Linked DNA regions of Xenopus tropicalis. The protein of the gene in region 3 interacts with the protein of the main gene of each other region in a biochemical or structural test. Links are inferred from orthologs where the notes say so. Each region holds a gene or a part of one and is shown on either strand. Other genes may lie near its edges. The genes, in order: rnf111, usp25 and sumo1.

What was found.
Region 1: the proteins of sumo1 (region 3) and rnf111 form a complex in vitro, tested with the Homo sapiens proteins (3 studies listed by BioGRID). The link is inferred for Xenopus tropicalis from reciprocal best matches to the Homo sapiens genes SUMO1 and RNF111.
Region 2: the proteins of sumo1 (region 3) and usp25 form a complex in vitro, tested with the Homo sapiens proteins (2 studies listed by BioGRID). The link is inferred for Xenopus tropicalis from reciprocal best matches to the Homo sapiens genes SUMO1 and USP25.

What each region holds. Positions count from the first base shown.
Region 1 is NC_030679.2:99,178,450-99,182,100, reverse strand, and holds part of rnf111 (E3 ubiquitin-protein ligase arkadia), read right to left. Parts: exon of another isoform or gene 3,639-3,651; intron 1,882-3,638; 5' UTR 1,816-1,881; coding exon 996-1,815; intron 1-995. UniProt on the Homo sapiens protein: E3 ubiquitin-protein ligase. Required for mesoderm patterning during embryonic development. Acts as an enhancer of the transcriptional responses of the SMAD2/SMAD3 effectors, which are activated downstream of BMP.
Region 2 is NC_030678.2:27,028,118-27,031,868, reverse strand, and holds the start of usp25 (ubiquitin carboxyl-terminal hydrolase 25), read right to left. Parts: upstream 2,630-3,751; 5' UTR 2,373-2,629; coding exon 2,331-2,372; intron 1-2,330. UniProt on the Homo sapiens protein: Deubiquitinating enzyme that hydrolyzes ubiquitin moieties conjugated to substrates and thus, functions in various biological processes including inflammation and immune response.
Region 3 is NC_030685.2:52,313,457-52,317,207, forward strand, and holds the start of sumo1 (small ubiquitin-related modifier 1 precursor), read right to left. Parts: upstream 2,640-3,751; 5' UTR 2,536-2,639; coding exon 2,524-2,535; intron 1-2,523. UniProt on the Homo sapiens protein: Ubiquitin-like protein that can be covalently attached to proteins as a monomer or a lysine-linked polymer.

The DNA.
Region 1 (3,651 bases), on a different chromosome or scaffold from region 3:
AAAAAGTTGCAGAAACTATTGGCCCCCGTGTGTCTTCGCCCTTATAATGCCCACCATTGCAGCAAATTTAAATCACTGTGGGCTTATCAGTTAAATCTCATGTATGTGTGAAAAAACGGTGGCTCGTCTATCAACACTGGGCAACTCTGCCTGTGGGTAATAACCCATGGCAACCAGTGATTGACTTTTTTTAGCCAGCTGTAGGTAGGACTATGAAGGCAACAATTTGATTGGTTGCCATGGGTTACTGTCAACGGGCAAACTAACCCAGTGTTGATAAATGACCCCCAGTGGCAGGCCTTTTGAGCAATTACAAATGTTGTATGTACCCTTGCCTTATGGATGAAACAGCACTGATCCCAGACACAGTGGCACTTACAATCTAAGCAACCAATAACACACACTATGGACAATTGTATCAGGAGCCAATAAAACTATTACAGTGTATTTGGATGGTAAAATATGGACACATTTTGTAGATAATTCCCTGGCTTAAATCAAACGATGACCCTGCAAGGCAGCAACATCCATGCCACTGTGCTACTAAATGATGTCAATACCCAGAGATGGAGGAAACTAAAATGTTAAATCCCTGTTTTAATCATGCCTAGCAGCTTCCATTGCTTGATAGCTATGTTATAAAAAAACAGAAAAACAAACAGTATTAAACCCTTAGGCAAACTGAGGATGAAGGGGGTGAAAATTCTGTGGGAAAAAAAACCTGTTGAAAACCCAAACTTTCAATATTCTAATTGATAACATTTACATTTATCCTCCCAAAAAGATCTAATAGATTCACAAAAAAAAAGTTAATTTTGCTAAGCCATAATACAGGTCTACACCTCTAAGCTGAACAATGACAGTGACGCTCATGGGACCTGCAGAGCCACATTTCTAAGACTGCTTTGTTAGCATATATAAGGAACTACTGAATATACATGAAGACATTTTTAAAAATCAAACACCGAAAAGTTGATATAGGACTTGTTCCTTACCTGAAGGAAGAGTTGTACCATCTTGGTGATTTTCCCCAGGAGACACAAATAAGTCCTCTTCTCCTTCAGTGGAGGAGCTGGAGGAAGATTCACTGCTAAGATCATTCTCACTAGAGCTGCTCGAGCTAGGAAGTAAGGCGTACTTCTGCCTGGCAAGCACCTCCCTCTTTTTCCTCTGTAACATCATACGTTCTTTTTGTTTCTGTGTTCTCTGGGAAGAGACATTTTTCACAAATCTTTTACGGTGCAGAGGCCTCCTCAGAGAACTGACTTGGTAGCAAGGCCGCTTCATAACCAAACTAGATACAGAGTCTGTGTGAGGACGGGGCCACTTCTGGGCCCTTGCACTCTGAGTTCTAGGAGTAGCATTTACACCTGCAGGAGAATACCTTCGAGGGTTGTCTTTGTCCTCATCAGAAGTCATAGTGTCCGAGTCACCGAAATGTGAGCTTGATGAAGGAGAAGAGATACAGTCACTAAAAGAAGAATCATTGTCCTCATCACTTTGAGGCTGAAGCCTTAACAGTCTCTGGTTTTCCTTAACCTCACAGCTTTGAGCATAAGATGTGCCAGCCTGCTGGTTTTTCCTTTTTTTATGAACCACAAGGTTTTTCTCTTGCTCAGTTCCATTGCTATTCAAGTCTCTCTGTTGTTTATTGGTATCACTGCACAAGTGAGAGAACTCATTGCTGACTTTGCTGGCAATCATTTCCACTTCTTTTGGAAAGCTCTTAGAGGCCCCAATAGCCTCTGGGTTCAGGAGCACCCCTTTAAGGTTCTCCTGTCTCTTTGGTGCATCTGAAGAAACCTCACTCTTCATATCCGCTTTTCAAAAAGATTCATATGTTTAGAACATCACAAATTAGCAGACGGATTTCAAGGTGGGCTGAAAAAAAAAATATTTATATATTTACATATATAGTATATGTTTTATAGAAGTAAAGCAAGGAATAAAACACAGGGAAAGTGTACATCATTGGAAGGTGCCAATGTGTTAAGAACTCCAAGTGATAAGGCCTAAGCAACCCGGGGCTGATACTCAGCCTGTGGATATATGCAGGTCGACGATCAGTCCTGTCAGACAATCAGCTTTTGGCTGTGCCTGCACCCGAGCCACTGCCCAGGCCCACGTGCAGGCACAGAGCAGATATTGGTACCTAAATGCATGAGTATGCATTTTGCCGCAGAAATCCTCACGGTATGTCTGCACCCAGGTCGAGGCAGTTTCTCAGGCACATCAAAAGGCAGTTGGGAGAGATTCTTGGCCTGCGTTTCTCCACAGGCCAAGAATCAGCCCTTTCTGGCTGTAGCCTTACAATCACTATGATTAAACACCAGGCCAGTGCTCCATTTCTTTAAATGTCACACAGGCCTGGGTTATCTCAATACGGGTGAGATTTGGGGCAAACATCTCTTTGCTGTCCTTAGGCTCTGACCTAATACTATATATCAGTAGCACCATTGTGAGCTTAGAACAGTACCAGCCAAATACTGGAATGTAAAGATTTGGATTAAAAAAAAAAAAAAAAAAAAGCTTGAAGGGTAAAAAAAAAAAAAAAAAACACTGAAGAAAGCCCTTGATAGAACTGTGATCAAATGTCTTTGCTGTTTTGAGGTGGGTGGCTTCCATTCGTTCTGGATTGCCTCTGGATGCTGCTTCAATGTTGCCAGTTAACATAAAGCAGGGCTGTCCAACTGGCGGCCCACGACCCCCCTCTGTGTGGCCCCCCACCTGTCTGGCTGCTTTGATGGCTTACCTTTGTGTATTGTTTAAAAATGTAATCCACTGTGTTGTTCACACCTTTTAATCCCTGCATTATTCACCCCCTGCAGTGTCCACACCTCAGGCTAAGGCTGTAATCACCCACATTGTTCACACCTCAGACTATAGGAGCAGTAGAAACCCACAAATAAACCTTGCACACTATAAAAAGAACATATACTGTGGTGGTACTGCACAGGCAGGGTATGGCACACACAGGCAGGGTAAGGCAGGCAGAGTATGGCACCCACAGGCAGGGTAGGGAAGGCAGAGTATGGCACACACAGGCAGGGTAGGGAAGGCAGAGTATGGCAGGTTTTTGCTGTACTACCACCATTAATATGGCTATGGTCATGCGATAATAGGTGTGGTATCAAGTGGGTGTGGTTTTAAAAAAGGGGAGTGGTCAAAACTAGCTTCCATTATCGGCCCTTCACCACGGAGGTCGGAAAAATTGTGGCCCTCGGTACCACAGAAGTTGGACAGCACTGACAAAGCATAGCATAGATCATTGCTGTCCAACTGGTGTATCAGTCACAAATATCCACAGGGACTACTGCAGTTAAGGGCTCTGGAACACAGGGAGATTAGTCACCCGTGACAAATCTCCCTGTTCGTGGGCGACTAATCTCCCCGAATTGCCATCCCACCGGCGACAATATAAGTCGCCGGTGGGATGGCACACGCTGCGCAGGCGACTAATCTCCCCGTGTGCCAGAGCCCTAAGTGTTGTATAATAGCTTTCTGTACAGTGGTATGGGGTCGCCACTTTCAAAATAAAGGATCAAAAAATGAAAGGAATCAACCAGAGAGCTCAACTGGTGGCCAGTGACACCCTTCTGTGTGGCCCCCCCACCTGTCTGGCTACTTTGATGGTTTACCTTTGTGTAAGCT
Region 2 (3,751 bases), on a different chromosome or scaffold from region 3:
TACAACTGACTGGGGGTTAAATTATACATCAGAAGAGGATTAGAGAGAATAAAAAAAAAAAAAAAGAGGAACATAAACCATTAAAAGACAGGACTTCTTCTTCAGACACAAGAATGGATAGAAACAATAGTATGGCAGTTCCACCTGAATGCGCAGAATTACCCAGTAACGGAGAGAAGCATGGCATGTTGGTGTTTAAATACAGAACAAACATTCTGACTGGTATGAAATGTACCGGCATCTTGCCTTTCCTTCCCACAAGGCAGAACTACATAGCAGCGTTCAGGAAGAATTATTCCAATTTATGCAAAATGAACCGCACACAAAAGGGTGTAAATATTTATGAACTGACAGAGCACCTAACCGGGTGCTGGGTGAGCAGCACAGACTCAGCACCCAGTCATGAATTGTAAAAATGTTCCGCTTTAGCTTTTCAAAGAATTCGACTCAGCCCTGAATGTACTGAACAGCCCCCCACATGAACTGCACACTTTAAGCGGATGCTGGTAACACTGATCCGAGACCACTACAGACTGGGAATGACAGGGGTGCCCCACCCCCTCCGCACCAGGATTAGGCTTCCAGACCAGGAGCTTGAGTACTATGGGCAGCCCACAGGAGAGAGGCTGGGGTCAGGCTTGTCTCCCCTTCCAGGGATGAGTAGGGAAACACGGGCAAATGGCTGGATTCACCCAAACACATTAAAGGGGTGAATTCTTATTAATACGCAGAAAGCTACTGCAATATACACTGCATAGAGGGACACTGATGGAATGCACACATTAGCCAAGGCCTGGCAGTTTGCTGAGGGAGCGAGGGGGTATTTGACACCAGCAGAAATCCTGCTAATAATCATATGGACCTGATGTATTATATGACAAGATACAGAGGGGCTACATACATATAACTTGTAGCTGCAGAACCACAACTCCCAGCGGGCCATATCAGCTATAACTGTTAGTGAATGCTGGGAATTGTAGTCTGCAGCTGCTGAAGGCAACCAAGCGTTACATAAAGCAGCAGCATAGGCGCAATAAGGGTGTGTTTACTAGACCAAGGAAGATTTTGGGTATCCAATAAATACAGCCTCTGACAGGAAGCTTCCACTTTACTGGAAGATAAGTCACTACAAGGAGAAGGTATAAATTGGATGCCCAATAGGCAATACTGCAAGACTACAAATCCCAGCATCCCCTAACCCAAGGAAGATGCTGTTAAGCAGCTGTTGCAAGGGAAAGGTGCCCTTACAGATGCACTAAGATTTTGGGGGCCCCTGACACAGGAACCTGTACACACAGAACTCCAACTCCCAGAATTCCCCTGGCTGTTGCGCTATTAGTATATGCACAGAAGTGTAGCTGGTTGGAAATGTGAGCCTTGGTGCAGAGCCCATGTGGGCGGGGCGCAGGGGCGCAGAATGCGGGGCGCAGGGGCGCAAAATGCGGGGCGCAGGGGCGCAGAATGCGGGGCGCAGGGGCGCAGAATGCGGGGCGCAGGGGCGCAGAATGCAGGGCGCAGGGGCGCAGAATGCAGGGCGCAGAATGCGGGGCGCAGGGGCGCAGAATGCGGGGCGCAGGGGCGCAGAATGCGGGGCGCAGGGGCGCAGAATGCGGGGCGCAGGGGCGCAGAATGCGGGGCGCAGGGGCGCAGAATGCGGGGCGCAGGGGCGCAGAATGCGGGGCGCAGGGGCGCAGAATGCGGGGCGCAGGGGCGCAGAATGCGGGGCGCAGGGGCGCAGAATGCGGGGCGCAGGGGCGCAGAATGCGGGGCGCAGGGGCGCAGAATGCGGGGCGCAGGGGCGCAGAATGCGGGGCGCAGGGGCGCAGAATGCGGGGCGCAGGGGCGCAGAATGCGGGGCGCAGGGGCGCAGAGGCGCAGAATGCGGGGCGCAGGGGCGCAGAATGCGGGGCGCAGGGGCGCAGAATGCGGGGCGCAGGGGCGCAGAATGCGGGGCACAGGGGCGCAGAATGCGGGGCGCAGAATGCAGGGCGCAGGGGCGCAGAATGCAGGGCGCAGGGGCGCAGAATGCAGGGCGCAGGGGCGCAGAATGCAGGGCGCACAAATGCTCATGAACATGCACAAAGGAGGGTGCAAGGCAGGCAGCCAGGGACACACGGCCATGCAGGCACCGGTATATCAGGCATAGACAGCACCCCACCCCCCTCCCAAAAAAGAATCTTCCACGATCCCGGCAGTCTCTCCCCCTCTCCAGCCACTGCTCCCGGCAGGGATAGATGACCTCCAGGCAGAAGAGCCCACCGTCCGTGCCCCGTCCCCAGCTCTGCTGGCCGGTAGTTACGCCCCTGGGTGCAGCCAGCGCGGCTCTTTACCTTCTGGGAGTTCTGCTGCAGGACATTTTGCTCCACGGTCATGGCCCAGATAAATCCTCCTCCTTCTGCCGCTGCTGTTGGGATCCCGGGACGGGAACTGGCGAGTGACTGCGAATCAGCTCAGCCCGGCGGGATCATGAGCCAGCAGCCTGCGGGGGGATGTACCAAGCCTTATGGTATATCCACAGGCCGACAGTGCCCGGCTCCCAGTGCGACTGCTGCTTCTACGGCCGCCACCGCCCGTCTCTCCCCAGTACGGTGTCCATTTTAGGACATCTATGCGCCAAAAAGTGCGTCTTGCCCTCTTCCCCTGTAAAATCTCTCTATTGCTAAGAAATCTTTATTGCGCCTCCCCCACTGCTGGTAACAGTTATGCGATCTCCCCTTACTTTGTGCTGACAGGTCCCGCCTGCCCCATTTATCCTCCTCCCATTCCCCCCTCCCATTTCACTTATGCGATTTCCTCTTACTTTTTCCTGACAGGTCCCAGCTTCCCCATTCATCCTCCTCCTCCCTACTACGTCATCCTGGGCATTCCACCCTACGACATCATCCAGTACGTCACAGCCAGCTTTCCTCCATTCTTCCTAAGGGCTGCGGGATGGTTTGTGCTCATTCTGCCCGGCTCTCTCAGCCAACGCACCGCCCCCTGTTCTGAAGTCAGCCATGACGCCTTCCTACTTCCAAACAAACGCTCTAGTTTATAAGCGTTTCTTTTATATCTATTCTCTATCTGCATTGTGCCTTAGCCGTATATCAGCCATGTGCAACTCCCTGCTGCTTCCGAACAAATGGTTTTCTAACAATACATGAGAGTATCCAAATTAGAAGAAAAAAGATCTCTTTGCCAGCAACACTGCGTGATCATTACATTTTGTATAGCGATTGCTTTATTAATCTAATGCATTTAAAAAGAGTGTGGGCGCCATTATTCCACCCAAGTACAAATGTTTTTGAAGAAAATAAATGTGCAGCTGAAATGGCAGGACTAGGTAAAGCCGACACCACACGGCTGAGGGTAAGAGAAAATAACATAAGCTGATAAAGCACACCAGAGTGTGTGTGTTGGAAAGTGAAATATAGGAGGGCCTCACAGGTGACGTTGCTAGGGGCAGGTCTGTGGGATGAGAGTAGGGTGGATAGAGAATAATTCTGTTGCCCGTAAGAATGATGGCGGAAGAGGAGGGACAAAGAATGACATCGCAGGGAGGAAGATGAAAGGGGGAAACTGGGAGCTGTCAGGGGAAAGTAAGAGCAGATGGCATAAGAGACGAATGAATGGGGGGCCTGCCAGCACACAGAGGAGATCGCATAGACATGAACACCAACAGCGAGGGAGGCGTAGAGTGGCAGAGAGCGGGACTTTGCATTTTCAGACAAAAGTCCTAAGACGGACACCGTACGCCTCCAGCCTTTCGCAT
Region 3 (3,751 bases):
TTCCAGCATCTTTGCAGTTGCAAGAGTCAATGTGCTTGGTGCAATTGTGTTGTGCCTTAGTTCACAAGACAGGAAGGACTGAGCTGTGCCAAGCACACCTACATTAAAGTTTAAAGGAGAAGGAAAGGCTAATAAAGAGTTAATCCCAAACTGCAGGCATACCTTCAGTTGACTCAATAGTGCCCTTAAGTCTCCCCATACTTCACCTGTTCAGAAGATCAGAAGCCAAACAGGAAAAAAAAACGCTGAGCAGGGTAGAGAAGATTCCCATAATGCAACGCTCCTGCCCAGACTTGGCAACTTGGGACTGTAGGCAGCGCATGCGCACACAGCAGGAGCGTCTGGTTGCCATGGCGACGCAGCCGACAGGAGAACTCTGCTCTGTGACATTCAGACCTGGCAGGTGGGGGGAGCGGCAGAGGGTTTGTGGCAGGAGCGGGGAGCCGGGGGAGTTGATATGCAGTGATGCATCTGCATTTGTGACATGCAGAGCCGGCAGGTGGGAGGAGCGGCGGGGGGTTTGTGGCAGGAGTGGGAAGCGGCGGAGGGTTTGTGACAGGAGCAGGGGGGGGGGGGTTGTGGCAGGAGCGGGGGGGGGTTGTGGCAGGAGCAGGGGGGGGTTGTGGCAGGAGCAGGGGGGGGTTGTGGCAGGAGCAGGGGGGGGTTGTGGCAGGAGCGGGGGGGGTTGTGGCAGGAGCGGGGGGGGGTTGTGGCAGAAGCGGGGGGGGGGTTGTGGCAGAAGCGGGGGGGGGTTGTGGCAGAAGCGGGGAGCGGTGGAGGGTTTGTGGCAGGTGAGGGGATCGGAGGGGGGCTGGCTTGTGCTTTTCAGCAATAGCCCATACAGACATGCTGGACAAGATGGCGGCGCCGTTCACTGAAACAAGTATGTAAGTTCTAGTATGTGTATCTCTGTAAATATTTCATTGGGCAAGCCAGAAATATAGCGTTTTTACACAGCAATAGTAGTACTATTTAATAGTGTGCTTAATAGATTTCGACTTTCCTTGTCCTTTAAGAAGCGCATTTTCACTTACGTACCTCAAATGAAAGTGGTTTTACACACAACTAACTGCGCGGAAGTTAGAGACTGAAATTACACTTGCAGAGATAATTTAGGAGCCCTACTAACTCTTCTGCACATCTTGGAAAAGCACCCAGCAGTGAATGGAATTGCTCAATGGTGCTAGCAAAGTATTTAAATTTTTTTTCAGTAAAGCTGTACAAAAAGCAACTTTTCAGACACTATTTTAGAGGTGTATGATGAAATGGGAATACTTGTTCACACATACCCACAGACTGAGATACAAAATAACAGAGTGATATACATTTGACACAAATGCATGTACGCAATGTTGCCCTAAATGTAAGGCAATAAATACCAATAATGGGAAAAACAGCTTTCAACAGAAACATCTGCGTGCATCACTGGTATTTAATCCGTCGCACCATTGAAAGTGCACTTAATTGGGCCAGACAGAAATTTGGGGCTCCCAGTGGTCCCCATGCCCACATGAATGCGGCATCAGCAAAGTTTGAAGTGACAGGACTAGCTGGTACTGCCCAACATCACAGGGATCTAATCATTTTGGCCTGTAGTCCACTTGAATGTTTAAACCGTCACCCTTTAGGTGGCTGCATTAAAGATAAGATTGGGATCCTAAACTATGAAAGTCATGCAAGAAAACAAGATGTGCTTGAACATTACATACAATATAAACAAGCAGAGTGTACTACAAGAGATCAATCGTTAACTCCCACATACCTACACACAGCTTAACATGATACCTCCCCTGGGTAATGGGAATTACCACTACAATTAAATTAACATGTGTATACGTGTGCAGCGGTGTTTGTTTGGAAGGGTTAAACGCGATTGTTATATTTTCAACCAAACATAATAATGTATCTACAAACACTTAGTGGATGCTCATAAATAGACTTAATTTATGTACCTGATAGTTCTGAAATGCTTTGAGCTCTTCCAGGCTAACAGATTTACCCTACTGTAACAAATCAATGCTGTGTGAGACCCCATAAGGCTAAAGCTGCTGAAACTTGTTAGGTTAATATATACTTTATATAGGTCAAATAACTATATGGGCCAATATATCTCTGGCTTTCCTGTTAGGCCTCTCACTTCGCCAACCACCACTGGGCAATTACTCACAGATAATAACATCTACAGGAGAAGATACACATACTGGACAATAAGACATAAAGCAAATTACACGACACACAACGGGGTGTGGGTCCTATAGAGCAGTTTATCCAGCAAAAGTGCACAGCAGCAGAAACCCATAGCAACCAGCTCTAATAGTCTAAGTGTCGTATAAAATGAAAGTAAATGACTTAGCTGCCGCCCTTGGTTATGGGCCGCATGTACTACTTTAGCTGCATATTAATGTGTAGCCATGAGACCTACTTGTTTACATCTACAAGCAGGTCTCCAGACACACAAAACAAGACACACACGTCCCAGAGACTTTCTCTCGTTCTCCCGCCCACTCCACAAAAGTGTCTCACCTGATCAGACATGCTAACTGCTCTCGGCCGGTATCGGTTCGCTACACTGGACCGCTCTACGCTTTTCCTTCCTCCGGGCACAATAACAGCACAAGAGAACCAGACAAGGAAGGTGTTCCGGTTCTTGGGAATGACCTCATTTCCGATACATGCGGCACCGCCCACATTTTGCTGACGCGCACTGCTGCGGCTTGCGGCAAATGGTAGGGGTATGCGCTTGCACAGACGCTGAGCACTAGGTGGCGCTTTTGTGTCCATATTGTAATGCGAACGTCAGCCTTTAACCATTGATATCCAGTGTTTTTTCTGTATAGAGCATTAACCTCTCCAAAGCCGAGCATTAATAGTAGGCGTCTAATGGCTTTGGCACTGCCAGCCTCACATCATTAAAAGGCCCCGTTACATAGTAGATTGGCTTTACCTGGCTTTACGTGGCTTTTGACGTTTTAGTAGGTGATTCTTAACCTTTTTGGTTGCGTCGCATGATTGAAATTGACCACAAATGTTTATATAAACTGGTTAAATGAATGAGCCAAATTACAGACAATTGCTTATATGAAAAAAAAATTGGTTATCTTATCTTGTCAATCTGATCCCTTGAGAGCCCCTGATGCCTCTATATTAGAGGACACATTGGGAAGAGACTAAATAACAGATACCGAGGCATAGGGTGGGTGGAGAATAGACATAATTATCAAAATTGTGTGAATAAACCTTACCCGCGCTTCTAATAAATTTATGTGTAGTTCGTGAAAGACTAATATTATTCTAAAAAACAAATTAAATTACCCAACAACAATCCTCTTACCCAAATAGTGAATAGAATATCATAAATAGCCTCCTTCCTCCAAACTAATCCTCACAGTGAATATATAAATATTATAACAAGGAGTTAGCGCTAAAAAAATATACCACCAAGTGTAAAAATTCTATAATATTTTAATTAATCATTAAATCAATACAAAAAGATACAAGTCATAAGTTAAAAGATACAATAGGATATAGTGATAATCAAAAACAGTTCGTTAAAACTAAATTGTTGGCCCTATTAGTTCATTAAAAAAGTGAACTAGGATAAATGAGGATGGTACAATAAATACGTTTAGCTTTTTAAATGACTATTTATGCACGTATTTATTGTACCATCCTCATTTATCCTAGTTCACTTTTTTAATGAACTAATAGGGCCAACATTTTAGTTTTAACGAACTGTTTTTGATTATCACTA